Linked DNA regions of Drosophila melanogaster. The protein of the gene in region 2 purifies or fractionates together with the protein of the main gene of each other region. This does not show direct contact. Each region holds a gene or a part of one and is shown on either strand. Other genes may lie near its edges. The genes, in order: CG1161 and ClC-c.

Region 1 (9,249 bases), on a different chromosome or scaffold from region 2:
GCAGGGTCTTGTCAGCCGATTACACCGCCTGAAGAAATGACCGCCCACTCCTCCTCGACGGAGTTTTCCAGCTGGAACTGTGATGGAGAGGTGGTGACCGACCTGGACATAACCATGCGGTGAGTTGGTTGTACCTTTAACTTCAATAAATCGCTTATTAACCGTTCCGTATCTGGCAGATCGCATTGTCAGCTCATCGAGGTCTTCATGCGGGGTCCCCATTCCTACAGCAAGCCCCTCAAGGGCGGCACCACGCCCACAACCCCAGCTAGCTCTAGCGACAATGTTTACTGCTGCTGCAAGGACTAGAAGCTTTAACCCCATAGAATTAGCATCAATCGTTGGCCGTGACATGTAGCTCTTAGTTTTGCGTAGGGTATCCTTATTCGTATATGTATCGTGTTAAAGAGCGGGTCTCCCCGTCATTGTTTTTAGCATAGCTCAATAAAGCAACTGATATTATCGACTGTATTATGGCATCTGAAAGATGCGGCAGCAACCTAAACATTCCCCTCGGAAGCATTATGCACATACCTATATATTTACAAATTGTGTACTGGTATACTGGCAATAAAAATGTATTTATATGTCTTCAAATTTATAATTCTTTATTATTAATTTATATGATCAAATGTTATGATAAAAAACTTCGTTGGGTTCCCAAAAACAACAATCCGGAACATGTGCGTTTTTCCCACCAATATGAATAAAAGCAGAAGTTTTAGCAAAAGAACCTTATTCCGCTTAAAAAGCTATGGAGAATCGTGTTCGAAGGGAGAGAAGGGAGATATTGGATTTGTAGATTGACCAGGATAATTTCCAAACGTCATTTACATTTATTGCTCTCGATTCTTATACTTTAATGACCATTGAACGGCTTAAAATGAAGTAAAGCAAATGGTCATTATATATTAACTAAACATATATTTAGTTTCAAGGAGTAGTAAATACCGTAGAAGCAACGGGTATACATGAGTCTTAATCCTAATTGAGTGAAAAGTTCTTTAATTTCTTATCTTTCTTCTCCTTGATTTGTATTATCAACGAGGATTATAAAGACAAAAGTAAAAAAACAAATTCAGTATAGGCAGCGTGGTGTTAACTGTTTTACATTACTTTTAACATCAACATCTAATAAAATGTTAAAAAGTTCACAATTAAACTTCAAATTAATTTAATTTAACACATGTAAAACGGTGTGACCAAGCTAATAGTGGATTCATCTTTGGTATGTCTGGTATTTTTAGCTACCGGTTGCCGATACTGGTATTGCCGCCCGCCTAAAGTCTGTTCACACTGCGCTGACTCTTGATTTTATTTGTGCCCGTCATTCTCCGGCAGCGACAAACATTTCAAAGTCTCGCGTTATTCCAGTCTCCGAATAAATTAGCATGTTGAACAACTACAACAGCCTAGCGCAGCCCATGTGGCAGAACGGACCCGCTCCCGGCGAGTTCTACAACTTCACGGGCGGACAGACGCCGGTCCAGCAGCTACCGCGGGAGCTGACCACAATGGGACCCTATGGAACCAAGCACAGCACGTAGGAACTGCGGATATGTTTATATGCAGATGTACCACTTGTTTACACTCCTTTTACTATTCCGCAGTGCTTCCAGCACCACGGGCACTTCCGTGCTTGGCATTCGCTATGATTCAGGAGTGATGCTGGCCGCCGACACCCTGGTGTCTTACGGATCCATGGCCCGCTACCAAAACATTGAGCGCGTCTTTAAGGTCAACAAGAACATCCTGCTCGGCGGGAGCGGCGACTTCGCTGACATCCAGTCCATCAAGCGCAACATCGACCAGAAGATGATCGAGGACCAGTGCTGCGACGACAACATCGAGATGAAGCCCAAGTCCTTGGCCAGTTGGATGACCCGTGTGCTCTACAACCGTCGTTCGCGGATGAACCCCCTCTACATTGACGTGGTTGTCGGCGGCGTGGACAACGAGGGGACTCCGTACCTGGCCAACGTGGATCTCCGTGGACGATCCTACGAGGACTACGTGGTGGCCACTGGTTTTGCCCGCCATTTGGCCGTTCCGCTGGTCCGTGAGAAGAAGCCCAAGGACAGGGACTTTACCGCCGTAGAAGCTTCCGAACTGGTAAGGAATTTCGAACTCTGATGGGGGGACTCTTCATTATTTAACTACCCTACCATTTTCTTATATTCTAGATCCGCACATGCATGGAGGTGCTTTACTACCGCGATACTCGTAATATTTCCCAATACACTGTGGGCGTGTGCAGCGTCAACGGATGCGGCGTGGAGGGGCCCTTCCAAGTTAACGAAAACTGGACATTCGCCGAAACCATAAAGGGATACTAGAGCCTCCGATTCTGAATGAACTTAGTTTAGGTCTAGCTCGGCGGTTTTGCATTAAAAAAAAACACTTGTCTAAGGATATGTGGTTACATGATTTATTAAAAATAAATGTGGCTGAAAATAATACGTTTAAAGTTATGGTTATTGTGTGATAGAAACTATCTTCGAGTTATTCTTTCGTTAATCTCTACTGATGGAATCAAAAAGTAGGCGTCAAACTAAGAAGCCCAAGGGAGTTTCCAAATCTAACTTGGACTCACCATTACGGTCTTACGTTCCTTATTTTCCCAAATTATAACCATCAATTATCATTAAAAGTTTTATTTTAGTGGATTTGTTGGTTATTCCTCCCGGCATTCAACTTATTAATTAATATGCAAACACTCCTGACAAACATATTTTGGTTTATTTTAATTAACATAAAATCTGGCTAAATATACAGATAATCAATTTGATCCAAAGGGGAATTTCGCAAAGGATAACTGCTTGGAATACGTGTCTTAAGTCGCCCATGCGCCTCCTAATCTCCGCCAGCTGCAAACCGAACCCCTTGTTAGTTTAGCATGGTATGCCTGTCGTAGATGTGGCGTCTCTGCTCGCGCACCTGCCGCTTCCACTTGTCCTGCTGGTGGCCCACACGATTGAGGACATTGGCTCTGGCACTGAGCTCCTGGTTGTTGACGGCTGGCAGGGGCGGCGTTGGTTCATCCTGGTTAGAAAAGGGTGGAAAAATGTGGAATTAGTCGAGGTGATCCAAGATCTGGCCGTGTTAGTTACTGTCTTAATGAAGTGACGGTGTGGGTTAGAAAGTCAACAAAATCTATAACGCAAAATGAAACAAAGGTGGTTGTGGAAATTAAAATCTATTCAAAAGAGTGGTGCTTCTTTATTGCCAACTAGTTGAGCCGCTTCGGCATCAACATCGTCATCTTCATCATCTTCGCCTTGGGCTGTAACTAGGAGGCTATACTGAATGCCCTTGTATCTAGAAAGCTTGTTATGTACATCTTCGTTGGTGTGCTCCTGGTAGTTCGCCTTCACTCGCTTGTTCAGCAACGGGTCCAGGCACATCAGGAAGAGCATGTATATTACTAAAATGGAGATGATCCAAATCACAATAATGACCACGACCTGGATGGGGGAGAGAGCTGGTTAAGTACGGACGGCTTTTGAGCACTCGAATTGACTCACCTTTATCAGCGTCGTATTTCTCGCCACATGGGAGCACTTGCACTCGGCGCATATGGGCAGCTCCTTGCCATTGGCATCCAAACGGGGCAGCAGGGCACCGGCACAGACGCTGAAATGGTAACGTGTAGCAGGTTGTTAAGAACTCCAACCTAACAGAATCACAAATTAAGCTCATTGATACCAAGATGCCTTATACATTTAGTAGCTGAAAAGTGAATACATTTGTGCAATACATGAACTATGATTCTTTGAAGCCTACGCAAACAACGTAAATTGAATTTAAAGTAGTAGAATCCAGTGGGACGAAAGGGATTGCAGCTTTAAAACTGCTCAAATGGACTAGACTTTAAGTTTCCAGATGCGGCAATTTCTGCCAGTGCAGTGCCACTTACCACTCAGTTGTGCTGCTGGAATTGGAAGAATTTTTGCCTGGAGCAGCGAGCACAGGCTGGCCGATGACCTTGGCCGGAGGGGCGGCAGTGGGAGCTGAAACTTGCTTGGCTAGTGGAGCTGCAGCCGCTGGAGCTGCAGGTGCAGGCACAGGAGCAGGTTGAGCATTGCTGTTGTTGTTGCTGTTGGTGCCGATCGCTGGGAATGTCTGCGCCGCAGTCTCAGCCTTTGTTGATTGTTTGAGGGGGAAATGAAAGCGGATTAGTGGGGCAGTCACGGGATGTGGCCAGTCATCATACCCATGTCACGCCAACCAAATAACATATCACCAGTAGCACCGCGTAGACGAACAGGCGCTTGTGTGCCATTAATTTTTCTTTAATTTCAATTTTCCTCAGTTTTCTTGCCTTTTATTGGAGAAAATTCCCTTGCAATTTCGCAGAGTGACCGTACTTGTCTGGTGCACAGAAAATACCAACAAATTGTCGCTCATCGAACTAGTTCCTTTTGGTGCAATTAGTTTTTAGGCTAATTATTAATAACTAATTATTTCCTTCACGATATAACGTTCATTTAATTCTAAAACAATCAAGAAATAAGTTTCTAGGCGTATCAATAAATCTGTGACGTCAAATTCGTAATCTGCTCTCTGAAAAGACTAATTATATTTTTCCTTTATTCAACATTTATTATATACATTAAGCTATTTTCCGTTAATGGAATAAGTTACAGCAATATGGAGTTTGTTATAGTATTATGTTTATTTTTTTCGGTGAGTCCATAATTTGGATTTTACCGCAGCCTGGTCACACCAGCACCGTCAAAAATAGCAATTGTTTGCGTGTGCAACGCTGATTTCAACCGTAATTGCCGGTACAGATTGACTGACTTAGGTCCACGGACTAGGATACGATAACTAGAACAGGACACGATGCAGCACATACTACTTCTTACAGGACTGGCGCTGGTAGGCAGCATTTCCAGGGGAGCCGGTAAGTGGCGACCTGAAACAAAGTCGCGTCTATGTGGTCTTCTCTGATTGGCCGCCCCTCTTTCTGAACCTTCCGTGGCCATAGTTAATGCTTATCTTATATTCTATCTTGACCCTGCTGAACACAGCCACCGAATCCAACGTGGTCACCTGCGGCTCCATCCTGAAGCTGCTCAACTCGGACTACGCCTTCCGCCTGCACTCCCACGACGTCAAGTACGGATCTGGTTCCGGGCAGCAGTCGGTGACGGGCGTGGAGCAGAAGGAGGACGTGAACAGCCACTGGGTGATCAAGGCGCAGACCGGCGAGCTTTGTGAAAGGGGCGAGCCCATCGCCTGCGGATCCACCGTGCGACTGGAGCACCTGTCCACCAAGAAGAACCTGCACTCGCACCACTTTTCGTCGCCGCTCTCAGGCGAGCAGGAGGTGTCCGCGTACGGAACGGATGGACTCGGCGACACCGGCGACCACTGGGAGGTGGTCTGCTCCAACGAGAACTGGATGCGCAGTGCCCACGTTAGGCTGCGCCACATCGACACCGGCATGTACCTGGGCATGTCCGGCCGCTCCTATGGCAGACCCATCTCCGGCCAAATGGAAATCGTTGGCGTCCACAAGCCGCAGCACGGAACGCGCTGGACCACGGCGGAGGGCCTCTTTATCGTGCCCAAGGAGAAGAGCTCAACGCACGACGAGTACGCCCACTCGGAGCTGTAGTGCTCCCTAAGGACCTCGACTGCTGCAGTTTCATACTACTATTAGTTCTGTAATTTATAACTTAGTTGAATTTTTATTGAAGACCCCAAAAGCAAACCATCAAATTAAAATTATTTAAACTCAGGGTACTTCGAAACTTTCAGATTGCTTTCATCGAAAGTTATGTATTCTATGTATGTATTATGTATTCTATCTAGAAAGTGCCTTGCATAAAGGCAGTCGTAAGAACCACTTAGCTTAAATGCATTGCAACAAATGGGGGCGTCTATAGAGCCCTTTTTAAGGTAGTGAAACCTCAGTTGCAATCTAACTTTTCTAAATTTTTCTAGAACTTTGATTGATTGTCTACTTAGTCAGTTGCAGGCACACAAATGCTTTTTTATTTTTATGTAACCTTTTATATTTTAAACGGGTATTTTGAGGCAATAGTACTCTTTCTGTTGGCATTACTGCAGTTAATACAGATGTATCTATTCCATGTAGTGCTGAAAGACATGCGTAGGTTACCAGGTGCTAATAGCGTGTTCGTGTCACTTTTCTACTACTCATTGATGATTAAGACTGATTGCATTTGGCGGAAAATGTCGATATCTTTGAACTCCAACAGAAGGTATCCCATGCCGGATTGACAGCCCTTTAGCTTGAAGCTAAAGCGGGAAGTATCCTTGCAGATGCAGCCGTAGGGCGTCACTCGCATTTCGCGAAAGGTGCTCCCCATTCCTTCGGATGTTTTTGTTTGCATGCATAAAACAATGGGGCTTATTCCGACCATACAAGCTATGTATATACATTTTGCCATTGCTCGCGGTTTCCGCTCCCTTGCTGCCCCGATATCGTCACGTCCATTATCTGCTCGTCTGTTTTGTGTTTCTTTTGTTTGGGCCATTGTCAACGCTTTGTCTGCTCATCCTCCGGGCCATGTCCTCATCCTCCGCTGCCTCCGCCTCCTTCGCATCCCCGTAATCCCAACTGATTGTGGACCCAGTAAGGTCAAAGTGTTAGCTGATCTAACCCAGCGCACAGTCGTTTATAGATTCTCATAATCGGGTTGTCCTTGTAACCATTTTGCACAAATAAGAAATGGAAACAAGGATACTCGTTCTACTAGTCTGATGAGCGATGTTGTCCCCAGCAGGAAATCTTAGCAAGATCCACCATCTGAAGATAACCCTCAACTCCGTAATTTCATGCTTTACGATGCAAATACTGGAAGTATCAAGCTTTGAATCTTGTGTCAACTATTCCTGATTGGAAATTCTGTACAGCAATTATTATAGACTTTCAATAAATTGTCATAAATAGTATATGGAATATGGATAGCACATAGCTGTCCACGATGTCATATTACCAGAACATAGTATCGGAGAGTATAAAACACTTTAGTTGTCGATTACCATCTGAGCATGTTAAACTTTGTATAGTGAACCAAATGTTTTTCCACGGCTTAGTATAAAAGTCTTCTTCATTTTGCTTATATTGCTACAGAAATGAACGTCTTAACATTATATATAATCCTTTAAAATTGATCAATTATCGCATAATTTAATGCAATATAGTGGGCTTATGTGTTTAATGAAATCGGCAATGCTGCCACCTGCTGTGGCAACATACCATTTAATATCACGTCAATTATCCCTTACAGGTGTTGATAACTTCCGTTCTGCGCGTTTATTGATTTACCCTTAACGTGTTAACGCCAAACTCACTCATACGCACACCCATACATACATATGTATAAGGATGTGTTCCTGCTCGCAGGACTTTCCCTCCCCGACAACCGGATTCCATTGTTAAGCGGTGGCCCATCCTTGTATTCATCGTATCCTTGTATTGTGCTTCCTATGTGACCAATAATAAAGAGAATATTTTGGAGCGAAGCTACACTATTAAAAATTTTCATTAGACTTAGTGTAGAAAACTGTATAGATCGGGATAGATATAGCGAAATAAGCTCATAAGCCAACTAATCAAGTATTTCCTAATCCAATTGCGAAACTATTCGGCATTTAATACTGAAAATAAAACTCAAATCTCTTTCTCTGCACGCATAAATGCCCAAGTGTTTTAGCAATCCTACGATAATATATATTATACATATAAAAGGGAAACGTTTTCCCTTATCGATTTGTCTTAATCGACAGCGGGCAAAGTTTAAAGCGCTTAAAAGTGGGAAAGGACTCGTTGCTTGAGTGACTGACAGATTGACACAAAATGTTTGAATGTTGCGATGTTTGTTTGTTTGCGAGTGTGACGCCTGCCCCTCTGCCGCACAATTCCAAACGAAAAGTACGTTGTGTATACGCACGAGTGGCTGGAAAGCGTAAGCAAAACGCCCTGCATACTAACCGGCGCACCCTGACCTACGTCGTGGCGAAATATCTCAAAGTTACTTGGAGTACGATTAGAAAGCTATCCACATGTTTTAATTTTCGAAAATAGAGTAGGTTTAACTAGAAGCTTTCAAGACACTTAGTCACTGACTAATATATGATAATAGTATAAACAAACGTACAAACGTTCTATGTTAATTGATACAAAACTTTTTTCTTTTCTACAAAATTATAAATACATATAGTAATATAAGTATATTATAGAAAATATGAATCAAAACAATATCAATTGTTATCCCCTTTTATTAGTTCTTAAATGTTTAAACTCATAGATCGTCTTCAGCAAGCATACAACAATTTGCTCTGATTGCAACTATAGGATATTAGTTGATTGATCGATACAAATTTTACAGCGATCATGACGAAAAGATATCAAAGTCAAGCCCTTTTGGCCGACGAATTAAATGGCTAGTATATATGTGTATGTTAAGTAGACTTAGGATCCTCTCTGCTTTCTGCTTAATTCGCTAATTCTATTGTGAATAATTAGCATTTCCTGCCATTGGCAAAAAGCCAGAATTGTCGACGTGAAAATAGCCAGGTGTGTCCGCTCAGCTTTGCCACACGCCCTTTAAGCCTCCTCTCCATCCCTCGCCCCCTTTTCGCCTGTCTGTCTCTCTGTTGTCGTCTCCAGTGGCCGTTATCGCTGGCGTTGCGCATTCGCCCCGTTGCTCCTGGTCCGCCCCTACCTCCCTCTCGCTCACTCTCACTCGTGTCGCCTCCTACGCACTTAACATTGAAAACCGAAAACAAGCCCCCAAGTGGCCAGAAAGGCCTGCCATCCGCTAAAAAGAAGAACATAAGCCGTCTCTCTGCGCCCGCGCACTTCGCAAGTTCACGGAAAGAGGCGAGCCAGAGAGCCTTAAATTGTGAATAGTGAAAGTTTGATGGCAACAACAATCGTTCCTAAGTTTTGAAGTTCACAGCGAGCCTTTTAGACACGACAGCCGCCCCTAACAGTATGCAACACACTTTTACAGAGATTGTTGGAAAAGGCGAAAAAATGGGACACACGTTACGAACAGCGAGGATGTTTTTGTTGTCCATCGTCGTTTTAAAGTAGTATAACTTTATAAGTTAGCCATGGAAAATATTCAGAAATTCAAATAAATATGTAAACTAAAATATATATATACAATAATCTGTGTCAAGCTAATTTATTTGGCTCTTTTATGTGCTATTTTTTTGCCGTCTTAAGCATTTAACATTTGTAGGTGAGTTCAAAAAAATAATAGA
Region 2 (12,973 bases):
TTCCAAGGATACCGATAGCCACAAAGCTCTGAAGCCAAAACAGTAAGGTTTTCAAGCTGATGGAAAATGGACGTACTATCGCATTACAGCTCACCCATAGTTGAATTTCCGGCCACGCAGCCTTTGGAGAAGCAGCATGCCCTGGTGGACAACTGTACGGGCACCGATCCACCTCCTCCCAGCCAAGATGCCGCCACAGGAACGCAGGAGAAGCTGCATGTGGCCACACAAACAGAGCAACGAGTAGTTAGTAGTAAGGATGTGGAATACGATGAGAGGGCTTTGGCGAAGTGGTTGCGACAGATCTGCCCCATGGTCGAACGGGAGCTAATGAATCCCACGCCTCTGATGGAGGATCTAACGATGAGCCAGTGCCGCTTGGAGGAGAAACTGCAGGTGTACACGTACCAGAAACTGATAATGGGTGGTGCAGAAAACTCGCAAGGACTGGCTATCTGGCTGTGTGTGCATACGAATAACGCCCCAGTTCTGGTGGCCACCACTGTAGCTCCCCATGATGACTGGTGCGAGCATGTGGATCAGCAGCTAAAACTCTTTGTTCCCCAAAGAATGTCCGTTGGCAACTTGGTGATTTATACAGAGGCCAAAACTCTACCCCTAAAATCCTGTTTGCGAAGTCTGTGCACAAATCCGTTCAACAAGACCATGTTCGCTGGTTCGACCATGGACGGAGAGCTCTTCATCTGGTTATATGAGCAGGCGAGGGGTTCCGATTCCAGCGTCGATATCAAACAGCTATACAGTGTATCCTCCACCCAGGGAGCTGCAGTGGCTCTGGACTGGCCGCGGGAACATCTTCTGTTGGCCTGCTTTGCCAATGGCAGCGTTCGCCAGTGGGATTTAAGCAGGCAGATGGCTCTGGATTGGGAGTGAGTCTCTCTAAACACTAAACGAAACATTTCCCGGCATTAATCTTAAATATTATTTAATTAACTTCTCCAGATACACCCTGCCCGCAACGGTTAGCTCAGAGCCTACGGCAATGGTGACCCTTGGTCTGGATGACTTCGTCGTGGGCACTAACGATGGTGGCGTCTATCGCTGCTGGAACACCGGCCGGCAAACCGCAGCCATCAAGCAGATCAAATTGTTGGCCCTACGGCGACATCGATTCATGGTTTCCACCCTCCTCCGTACCGAAATGGAGGGCAACCTGTTCGTCCTGAGCTGCGATCTCAGTGGACAGGCCTTTTATCACGATATGCGGCTTGTGGATGAGGTGATAACATGACAAACAAACGAGCTGAACACTATTTATTTTCTCTTAAATAATGAACAGGACATGGCTCAGTTGATAGTACAAATTCCACTTCCCTTTAAAAACGTAATCGCCTGTAGTCGGGATGGCAACATCATCTTTTGCCCAGCCAATGATGGGTCACTGGAATACTATAGGGTGAGCGATGGAGCCCATGCCCATGTCAAGGGAGGACTTCGCGGCAAGGGAAGCCTTATCCGTAGTAGCGACAATGGGTGAGCTAATAACGAAGGAAATCAATAAAACAACAAATTTGAATAATAATTATCTTACAGACGCTGGTTAATTGCAGGCCTCTATGGCGACGAGTTCCAGATATTCTACGTAGAACACTAAATAGTCGTATTGAATTTTGTTCTCAGTTTTGAAATAATCGCTTGTATTTGCATGACTGCTTATGTTAATATGTACGGTTTTATCTTCTCTTAGGTTTGGTATATACACAATTTTATTTTAAAATTTCTCAGATCTCTAACAAATACCACATGTAAATATAGACTATGTATTGTATAAACAAGACATTTTATCTGTGTAGAATTTTGAACAAAATGCAAAAACGTAAAGCCATTTCGAAAATTTGGCGTAAAATAAGACTGCATTCTCTGTGGGAATCTCGTTAAAACCGCGTTTTCACATACGATTCACAAAATAAAATGTTCCTTTTACAACTATAGATCATTTCATAGTGTTATCAAGCTGTATGTGAACATATAAAAAGAAATATGCTGTGTGTAGAAAAGTGCTAGAATGACATAATTACAAAATGGCAATAAATGAATACACTAAACTTTTATAACCATTTGCCTACAGTAAAATAAATTATACAATTAACATTAACGAGATATATGCGATATATAAATATATAATAGAACTGCACACAATTTTGCTAAATCTCTCACGTCCGAACGTCCGATCCTATCTGTCCTAATCACGCGATTCCACTCTAATCCATTTCAGTCCACTTTGCATCCACTCGTTCAACTTTTCACTTAAGCTTAGATTGCAATCTGCATTTTGCACATAGTTCACATAATAATAACTAGAAGCAGCGCTCGCCCAACTTCTGATTGGCTGATAAATTCAGTTGAAGAGCACCGTATTGGGATCTTCGTTATCCATCTGCTTCACATGGCGCAGCACATCTTTCTTTGTAATTACGCCCAGTAGGCGACTGCAATGGAATTTGGATTAGATAACTTGAAACTGGTTAAACTGCTTCTGGCCACAAACTCACCCGTTGTGTGTTACCAATGTTTGGCGCAGTCCCAGCTTTCGGAACATGTCCACTACCGTCTCCATTGGCGTTTGATCTGTAACTGTGATCGGTGCCATATCCAGGATCTTTTTCAGCTTCAGCGGCTGGGGTCCCAGATTTTGAATAGGCTGGGATGATGTGAATAATACTATGGAGCTGCTGCTAATGCCCTCGATTAGACGCTTGGCATTGCCTATAAAATTTGTAATATTTAATTATGCAACATGATCTCGAAACAAGTTGTGACTGACCTATGGCCAAGTTAAGATCCCTGCGCAATACAAAGCCCACTAAATATTGATTCTCCCGCGACACCACCACCGGATAGCCATTGTGTTCCGTTTCTTTAAGAAGGTTCTCAACATCGTCCACCGTCATGGAGTCTTGGGTAATGACATTCAAAGTTTCATTCCGCCTAAAATGAAGTTTTTGTTAGATGATCTTGAGGAAAAAAAGGTTTTCTTTATACATACTTTGGTTGCATCACATCTGCGGCCAGTGTTGTATGCGCAAACTCTTCTTTGCTGTCTAGGAACGGATAACCATTCAGCGCAATGTGCGCATCGTAGATACCTTGCCTGCCCAGAGCATCACCCACCCACTTGGAGGCCATGGCGGCAGCCATCAGGGGCACAATATACCGCACTCCGCCTGTTAGCTCGAACATTATCACTACCAGGGAGACGGTCATTCGAGTGACACCTCCCAGCACAGCTGCTGCTCCCACAACCGCATACAGTCCGGGTGTGATAAGATTGCTGTCCGCACACTCACCGGTAAAGAACCAAATATTGGGATAGCTGTAGGCAAACTGCTCCACACCGATTCCAACAATGCGACCCATGATGGCGCCAAGGAGCAGGGACGGAATAAACAGACCAGCGGGCACTTTCATGCCAAACGTGAAGATGGTCAGGGCCAGTTTAAGTATAAAGGTGAGCATAAGCAGCCAAATGGAGCTGTACACACCAGGACCTGGCTCCGTAACTTCAATGAAACTGTTGCCCGACGTGATGTTCATGCGCTTGTAATCACTATAAGGAAATATGTAGTTATTATAAAAAAAAAATAAAAAATAATTATTATTGAAAAAACGTACCATAACGGATTGGTGACATCTCCGGGTGAGCACTTGCTAACCAATAGGAATATTAGCTCGTTCATGTTCATTCGGGTAAATGGATTGGGGTAGCAAATGATGGCAGTGACCAGGGTAACGAAGAGCACTTCCATTACTGGATACTGTCCGAGCTTGCTGAACTTCCTGTAGCGGCACCACCACAAATTGGCCTTGATGAAGAATGTGCCAATAACACCCTACAATAAATATTATGTTAATAAATTGTAGAGCTTCAAAATTAGTTCAGATTTACCCCCATAATTCCGAGGAAAACAAAAGGAATAAGTTCGAAAAAGATCCAGGGCTTGTTATACTCCACGAAAAAGAGCACGGAATGCTCGTTGCCAAACGGCGTCAGTGATCGTAAAACGAATGCGGCAATCAATGCACAAAAGAATGAACGCCACAATGTCTTCAATGGAAAATAGTATGACACTTCCTCCAGCGAAAAGAGAACTCCACCGATTGGTGCTCCGAAGGCCACCGAGACGCCTGCCGCTGCTGCTGCCGAAAGAATCTCACGCTTCTTGGCCTCATTTCGACCATATTTTGGGAAAACATGTGAGAATATGTTTCCAATACAACTGGCAATGTGGACCATGGGTCCTTCCTTGCCCAAAGTGAGGCCAGCGGATACAGACAGCATCAGACCCACCGATTTGATCAGCAGCGTCCACTTTCCTAGATAGCCGCGTATAATGAAGCCAGACAAGATGGTCTTTATCTCGGGAATACCAGATCCGCAGGCGTAGGGCGCAAACATTCGCACAAGGGAGGCGCTGAGCGAAGCAAAAAGCAAAGCCCACAGCACATACCAGATGTAAGCGACGATATATGGTCCGGTGCCATTTCGATCCAAACCAAAGATCTCTGGCCAGGTTTTCCACTGAAAATAAATGCGGTTTTAGTGCCTTATCAGGAAGAAAATGTAGTTTCACTCACCGTCGAGCAGTTGCCTTCTTCAAATACTGACTGTTTGGCCGGATAGCAGCATTGTTCCCTGTTAAACCAAAAGGCGGGTGGACAAATGCCATGCTTTAGATCCGACATCCAACTAGCTCCAATGTCCACCATGCCCGCCACACAGCCTGCGGCAATTCCGACGAGTAAAACACATAGCCAGCCAGATCCGGCATCAATGGAACCCTTTAAGTAAAATGATTGATAAGTATGGTGTGTTTTGAATCATAAACGATCTTATACCTTTATCAGATCCCACAAGGAGTCCTGTCGCTTCTTGACTATGTAGCGATGTCGCATCCGATCACGGGCAATGTCCCGCTGCCAATCAATGGTGTGAAAATCTTCGTACTGCCCAATGCCAGGAATATCATCTTGCACGTCCGAGGAACCATAGAAGGATAGTGCTCCTATAGCAATAATAAATAATACAATAAACATTACGGATTTGACACAGTAAGCTCCGAATCATGTTGTCGTAGTAGCATTACACGTGATTACGCTAATTCTAATGGTTTGGTGTCAAAGTCCAAAGAGAACCAGAGCCTTATAACCGCAAAAATTTATAGTATTTTTCTCGTGTTTCATTCAGGTATCGAGACGAAGAACGTTTACGTTTTCTTAAACAGATTCCTCGAATAAAGTTCTTACAGATATTACTCGTTCTAGCGTATTGTAAACATTGATTGCTATTATCATCAGATATACGATAGTATTTACCCAACAACTATAATTGATTCTTTTTCGTTTAAATAAATAATTCCCAATAGAAATGCCAGCTGGTTGTTTAGACAACTCAGTGATTATATTGCTAAATTAGCATCACGTGTGTAAATGGTGATTGTATTAATATACGTATGTACATATATCATGAAGTTAACTGGTGTCTCCACAATACATGTCTGTATGCTAATGATTGTACATATTAATTGAATTGCCAGCGAATGAGTACAGCTGTGAGCCGAATATTCGGAACCGGCAATGCGGCGAGGTGACGTCGCCTTACTCAAATGTTCGTGATCTTGATTAACACCACAGACAGCAACATTGGATGTTTTACGCAATGGATCTCTCCGAACTCACCGTCCATAGGATCGCCGAAGGCACTGTGAGTTGGCACATGCTGGTGCATTGTCCGCTGATTGTGGTGATTGCCGCCGCCGTTGCCGCCAGAGTGTCCGAAATCTCGTTCGGTGTCCGATTCGGTGGCCGTTTCCCGGTGATAGCCACTGCTGCTTCCTCCTCCTCCGCCGCCGCCGATCACATCGCCTGGACTGGAGCGGGGTGTGATGTCAATCATATCCTCGTCGTCGGTGCCCGCCGCCGTCAGCGAGGTGGTCAGTTTGGTGTGCTGCGCCAGCGGATGGTCACGAAAAGTTCCGTCTAGGTCGCCGTCGCCGCCGGCTCCGTTTGTGTGGCCGTTCGACTGAAAAAACGAAATAAGCAAAAAAGCTATAAGATAAGGTTTGTGAATTTGGAGAGCTAGCTAGCCTCTACCGCTTTGTTTATGCATACGCATTGATAAGATTAAGATCTCAGACACAGCGACACCGTTCAAATAATACATACATCTGTACGTTGAATTACAATTGAAAGCATTTCCGCCCCCTTGTGCCAGATTTTTTTGTGTTATCAGGGGATTCGCCCTTATCCGGGAAGCTTCAGCAGCCTATTCAAATTAAATGCCAACCGAAAGTTGGCAAGCATTTGCTTAGAATTTGGATAAAGGAGACTTCTGTGCTGGGCTTAGTGTCATTTTTTGGAAACCGAATATGGCAAATCCAGTGAAGTAAGGATTTCAAATAGTTATAGATAGATAATATCACTTTTTAGAGGAAAGTAAAGAAGTAAAGAAGAACTGTGACAAGATATTTATCCAAAACAGACAATGCATAACTGCAATATTAAGTATTTTTCCATCATATTTATCTAAAATTAAGCCACACTTCAAGTTTTTAAACAGACATTTGTTCTGTTGTTCTGTGAAAGGGGGGAAATCCCAGTGGGTTTTATGGTGGGCTACCTTTTTCATGACCGTTTGGTAGGCGGTTATGTAGCTGTTGCCCTCCGCGGCGGCCTCCCTGCTGCCCTTCAGCGGAAACTTCTCCATCCTGCGATCAGGCGATCCTACGTGGACAATTTCTTTGGATAGCTATCCAATATTTTGGATTCCCTTTTTGCGTTGCAGTCCAGCAAAGCGGCGCAGCAGCAGCGCAGTTGCAGCGCAGCGAGCGCACGTCACTAAGTACAAACACACACACGCACAAACAACTGTTCGTGGGGCGAATCGGCAATGCAATCACTTTCTTTCCATTTCACTCGAATCGCGGATGTGAACTCGATCTCATATGCATTGGGATGACGGTCGAACAAGTATTTGATCGATTATATAGTACACATTACTTTTGTGAAGTGCTTACTTTTGTGTGCGAATAATTTATTTGCGAACCGTCAGTGTGACCAGACCGGGCGAGCTAATGAAATACAGAACGTAGTGTATCGAACAAGAATCGATTGCAAAAGTAGTCGATATCATTCGCGATAGGTACGATATCCCGACGCGATCACTTTGTTCAATGAAAAAAATGCAGACGCGCGAATTACTTGCAAACTCAACACCAAACAAGTTTCAATTTCGCCTAAAAGAGAATCATATTGTTCACATACGCTAAAGTACAAGGCTAACGCCATGTCCGTTCAAGACGTACTATGGATCGTACTCACGGTGCAGTTGAGTTTTGGTCTTGCGTATTTTGAAAACAATCAAAGGACGCAGGACTATGATGTCGATAAAAATGGTTCTGTACACCACAAAAACTGGGTGCGTAACGAAATGATGGACAGCTTGGGCTTGTACTGGCTCAAATGGTGGATAAACGCCAACGAAAATAGCATTTACTTTGAAGTAACTGTTCACACACGAGGCTTTGCCGGCCTGGGTTTCTCCAAGGATGGCCGGCTGGCCAGAGCGGATATGGTTTTGATGTGGGTGGATGACGCCACAGGACATCCGAACGTCTTGGACTGCCATGGGGCGCTGCATCCTTCAAGCGGACCGCCGCTGCAGGACGATACTCAAAACTACGATGTCCTAGATGGCAAACAAAATGGGACGCACACAATCCTGAAGTTTAAACGCAAAATTGAGACCTGTGACCCATTCGATATTCCACTCTCCGTAAGTTTTCTTCGCAATCAATTAAATATGAAAATAATATAAATTTACATTGCAGGCTGATACGTTTAAGGTACTGTGGTCCATTGGGGAAAATGATCCTATTCATGGAAACTTGGATTGGCAAGGTCAGAGCAGAGGCGTGAAAGCTTTGCAATTGTTTTCGCCAATGTTTACGAAAAATAGTCACTCGATCGAAGGCATCCAAAAATGGGACATAACTGTGAACAACGTAACAATTGATCGGTCAATGGATACACTATACTGGTGTAAAATAGTGCGACTACCAGAGTTAACTGGCAAACAGCATATAATTGGTTATGAGCCGCTGCTGTCTGGTAAATACGAGAGGAATGTTGTTCACCACATGACCCTGTTTGAGTGTCAGTCCAAGATATACTCTGGATCCGATCCTTCGTCCTGGGACCTTTGGGTTAGGAGTGCCGGCACAGTGTGCAACAGCAACCTACTGACGCCACGCGACTGGGATTCGTGCTCTACGCCAGTTGCAGTTTGGTCCTTGGGATCTGATGGACAGTTTCTACCTCCCCACGCAGGGATCCCAATGGGCGGAGCATCTGGAGTTAGCTATTATATGCTGGAAATACACTACGATAATCCCGATGGAAAGGAATCGGTGGATCACTCCGGTTTTCGAATACACTACACACCCAATCTGCGAACCTACGATTCCGGAATTCTAATAAGTGGTGTTTCCATTTCGGAAACGCAACTCATTCCGCCTGGTCAAAAGAAGTATCGATCCGTCGGCATTTGTGGGCCGTCTTGTTCAAGCGTCATGTTCCCAAAGGATGGTATTAAAATAATATCCGGAACGTTGCACTCACATCAAGCTGGTCGCACAATTAGTCTTCGACATGTTCGATCTGGTAAGGAGTTGAATCCGATCATTGTTGACGAAAACTACGATTACAGGCACCAAAAAGTCCATCAGCTTGCCAATGAAACGGTCGTATTGCCAGGGGATTACCTAATTACAGACTGTTCCTATGAGACAAAGTACAGAAAACGACCCACATTCGGGGGCTATTCCACGAAGGAGGAAATGTGTCTCACCTTTATTACTTATTACCCAAAGATTGAGATGTCCGGATGTTATAGTATGACACCAGTGCGTGAGTTTTTCGAGATGTTCCGTGTGTACCAATTCTATTCCTTAAATATGACCGATGTCGAGAACATGTTTCTCTACAACAGTGACTACACCGACTACAGTAAACAGGCGAAGAATGCGACAAACAAACCAAATTCCGGAAAAACGTCCAAAGAAGACGTCATCTACCAGGAGTCTTTGTTAAACAAGCTTGTTATATCCGACCCAGCCGAATTTCACGATCGCACATTTCTATCGCATTTAAATCAGTTGCCTTGGCATGATCCTCTCTTTACGAAACGTGTTGAACAAGCATTTATAACCGGAACACATATGACGTTTTGTCGCGTATCCAAGGATTCATTATCAATTCCTTCGGAAATAATTCGCTATCCCGAGTTTACAGCGTACGTGAAGCCACCGGCAGCTTGTTTGAATTATTTGTTCACTGATAATGAAGAACTTCGTTCGGGAAGTTCACAATTTTTTACAGACTTTACGTTAAGTCTTTTATTACTCATTCAGCTCGGGTTGCAAACGACATTATTGTAAAATAAAAGTGCGTTTGAAAGTATTATTTAAGCCATCCAAAACGTTTTCAGTGAAAATGCTAGCTTACCAAATGAACGATTATCAAATATTCAAAATTATTCTCGTAATATGAAACATGAAAATATATCAAATCGATATAAACTAGGTACTAACATAAAGTAATATACATTTTATAGAGATTTAAGGTGCTTTTAAGAACTTTTTAATTTAATTTTAATTTAAGAACTTTTAAATTGGATTTAAAAATTTTGCACTAAATGTAGAAAGTAAAAAATACACCTCCGACTTGCAAACCAATCAAATAATTTTCTCTTAAATAAGTTAAATTACCGACAATAAAATAAGGATTAACTTATATTTATGTTAAGGTTTTCATATTTTTGAAGATTTACAGAATGTATGCATCTTTTCAGGGATACTAATATTAGCCTATATTAAAAATGTATGCAGTTTTCAAATAAAGTTAATTTTTATAAATATTTAAATTTTTTTGAGTGTAGTTTTGGTATATTTGTAAAGTGACCTGCTGTCAGCGAACATTCCCCGTGGTATATTTCAACTCGGCCCGCACGGTCACTCTGATCAATTTGTTTACGCCGTACAGCGCACGGATTGCAGTTGGGCCAACAACAAGGCGCGAGCATAAACAGCAATACCAACATGGCCGGCTTCGTCGCGGTGCACACGGGTACGTATCTTGGCCATGGCGGTTCCGATCCGCCGGGCAGACAGCCAGATGATTGATGACCGCCACTTGCTCTCAGGGGCTGGGAACTGCATCGACGAGACGAAGTACCAGCGGGTGATTAAGGAGGCCTGCCTGCGCGCCACGGAGATCCTTCGCAACGGCGGATCCGCCGTCGATGCCTGCGAGGCGGCCATTGTGCGGCTGGAGAACTGCGGCTACACAAACGCCGGCTATGGCTCCAATCTCTGCATGGACGGCTCTGTGCAGTGCGATGCGGCTATAATGGATGGCTCAACGCTTAACTTTGGCGCCTGCACGAACGTTAGTCGGGTGAAGAACCCCATACAGTTGGCGAGACGCATCTGCGATGCCCAGTCCAGTCCGCAGCTTCTGGAGCGCATTCCACCGATGATCCTCGCCGGCACTGGAGCGGAACACTATGCCGACGAGGTGGGTTGCTCCATGGTGGAGCCCGGCGTACTGATCTCATCTAAGGCCAAGTTCCAGTTTAATCACTACAAAAGCAAGTACGACCTCGTGGTCAACAGCAGATTGGGCAAGGCAACGTCCGAGGAATCCGTACAAGTGCCGGAACCAGGAAACGAGGTGGAACTTGCCGCTGCTTTGGACACAGTGGGAGCGGTATGTGTTGATGGGGCAGGGAACACAGCAGCTGGATGTAGCTCCGGTGGCATACTGCTCAAAGTTCCGGGCAGAGTGGGGCAGGCGGCTACTTATGGTGCCGGCTGTTGGGCCACCGATACGGACGAACTGGCCATAGCCACCTGCACAACCGGAAACGGCGAGTACCTGATGAAAACGCTGCTGGCCCGAGAGATCTGCCATGGGGCATTTAGCAGTGATTGTGCGGTGACCAGTCTTCACAAGACGTTCAAGCAAAAGTTCCTGGACTCCCCGCTGCTGCCCCGACAGCAGGATCTGTACGCTGGAGCTCTGACGCTACTCTATTATCCGGGCCAGAGCAGCGGCGAGGTGATGTGGAGCCACACGACGCAGTCGTTCTGTGTCGGCTACATGGCAACCAACCAGAGGGTGCCAAAGGTTCGTACACCCATCCATCATTTTCTGATTTCACATATAACTAATTCGGCGTATGTGTTTATATTTGCAGTTTGTGCATTCGCCGCTGCCCACGTACAGCGTCCCGGGCCGATCGTGCGTCGTCAATGGCCATAATTTCCATTTGCGCATTTAAATGTGGGCTGGCCAACTAGCCGCAGCCCCCAGCACCTTCCTGCAGCTCCTAGTCCCGCTGCTCTGCATCTGCAATTCATTTGATTTAATGTTTAATTGCCGCGACAATCGCTGCCAATGACATATGGGAGCAGAAGGCGCCTGAGGAGCTGGGACAGCATTATGTGTATATGCTTCATTCTCTCGGCGAAATATTAAGATAATTAAGCAAATATTTTTATTGTAAAAATCTCGTAGATCGTAATGTTTGCAGTACTAGTAGTAGCAATGAAATAGGATTTCGAATATATTGTATCCCTCGTCGAACCGGGTGCGCTAGATAAATCAGCCGGCGGCATGCGAGTCTGTTCGGAATATCATATTCGAGGGGGCATATGTTTGTATCCGTTTGTATATTTAGACTTGCGCTGCCTTGTGTGCGCATCTGTGTGTTTATGTCCAAGTGTTTACGGCCATCAATGTACAGAACTTAACCCATTAATATTAGCTAAGCAGAAGCCACAGCATGCACACACAATATCAAGGTCTCCACTATCGCGAGTTGTCCTCAACATGAAAATTGTGAAAATGCTTTTACTTTTTAGCGTAAATCGATTTGTACATATGTACATACACATACGCATATGACGCGAGATTTTCTAAACGAAACATTCATACGTATTCATTTCTCCGTTTATGGGGTTCCAGCTAATAATCCTATGGTATTTCATGGCATATAGAATGCTAGACATCTCGAGGCTTTTTCAAACTGCATGCGCACCAGCAAAAAGTGAGTTCCATTAGATGATGATTAATACTGCCTAAGATCATGATCTTCATGTTAGTCATGTTTAAAGCCAGTTATATCCCAAGAACGATTTAACACCAATGACGAATTTCAAATGTATCGTATTTATTATTTCGGACCTATTAAATGCCTATCAAAGATTGTTTACAAATATATATCGCTTTATTATTTTAGAAGGTTTGTAAAAACCATATTATTGCTTTAATTAGAAAACTGGCGGAAAATCGTTTGCTTAAGGAGTAGGAGTAGTCGTAGAAGTTGTTGAGGTAGACTGTGTGGATGATTCCGTAGAAGAAGACTGCGTGGTGGAAGCAGTCGTGGAAGAAGACTCGGTGGAGGATTCCGTAGATGAAGAAGCCGACGAGGACGCAGTCGTTGGTGTAGATTCCGTTGATGAGGAAGCTGTGGATGAAGCAGTCGTTGATGAAGACTCGGAGGAGGACTCAGTTGAAGAAGCAGTCGATGAAGAATCAGAGGGCGACTGAGTCGTTGTATCCGAGCAGCTGGTCGGCCTGGTTGTCACACATGAGCTGGTGGTTGAATCAAAGAACGGCGTGGAGGCGCCGCAAGTCATATAGAGGGCAACCCAGGTGGTTCCAGATTTCTGGCAGTACAGGTAGCTGTTGCACGTGGAGTCATCGGTTATTCTGGTAAAGAAGTAACTAGGATTGGTACTAGGCTCGCCAGCATTGCACAAATCCTCTTTCTGCGCAGCACTAGGAGTTGTCGTTGGAGCCACTGTAGTTGTTGTGGTTGGCTGATAAATACTGTTGCTACAGGTGGCATCCAATCCAAGCTATAAGGTATAACATGTTAGTATGAATAATT

What was found.
Region 1: the proteins of ClC-c (region 2) and CG1161 purify together in Drosophila melanogaster (affinity purification with mass spectrometry, with the first as the bait; one large-scale study listed by BioGRID). This does not show direct contact.

What each region holds. Positions count from the first base shown.
Region 1 is NT_033777.3:5,350,218-5,359,466, reverse strand, and holds CG1161 (uncharacterized protein), read right to left. Parts: upstream 4,376-9,249; 5' UTR 4,283-4,375; coding exon 4,214-4,282; intron 4,141-4,213; coding exon 3,917-4,140; intron 3,634-3,916; coding exon 3,525-3,633; intron 3,465-3,524; coding exon 3,339-3,464; coding exon of another isoform or gene 3,201-3,338; exon of another isoform or gene 3,043-3,200; coding exon 2,887-3,042; 3' UTR 2,719-2,886; downstream 1-2,718. Other genes in the region: Cerk (ceramide kinase), read left to right, coding at 1-119, 180-309; Prosbeta7 (proteasome beta7 subunit), read left to right, coding at 1,392-1,543, 1,611-2,112, 2,184-2,336; CG11999 (uncharacterized protein), read left to right, coding at 4,846-4,906, 5,034-5,623.
Region 2 is NT_037436.4:16,084,583-16,097,555, reverse strand, and holds ClC-c (chloride channel-c), read right to left. Parts: upstream 7,103-12,973; 5' UTR 6,725-7,102; coding exon 6,638-6,724; intron 6,041-6,637; coding exon 5,698-6,040; intron 5,025-5,697; coding exon 4,858-5,024; intron 4,801-4,857; coding exon 4,597-4,800; intron 4,541-4,596; coding exon 3,908-4,540; intron 3,852-3,907; coding exon 3,634-3,851; intron 3,569-3,633; coding exon 3,008-3,568; intron 2,950-3,007; coding exon 2,786-2,949; intron 2,728-2,785; coding exon 2,514-2,727; intron 2,451-2,513; coding exon 2,360-2,450; 3' UTR 1,616-2,359; coding exon of another isoform or gene 1,555-1,615; 3' UTR 1,553-1,554; intron 1,500-1,552; 3' UTR 1,495-1,499; downstream 1-1,494. Other genes in the region: CG13074 (uncharacterized protein), read left to right, coding at 67-890, 964-1,240, 1,301-1,494, 1,555-1,615; CG5235 (uncharacterized protein), read left to right, coding at 7,304-7,792, 7,848-9,455; Tasp1 (taspase 1), read left to right, coding at 10,116-10,143, 10,220-11,205, 11,276-11,359; CG13075 (uncharacterized protein), read right to left, coding at 12,378-12,941.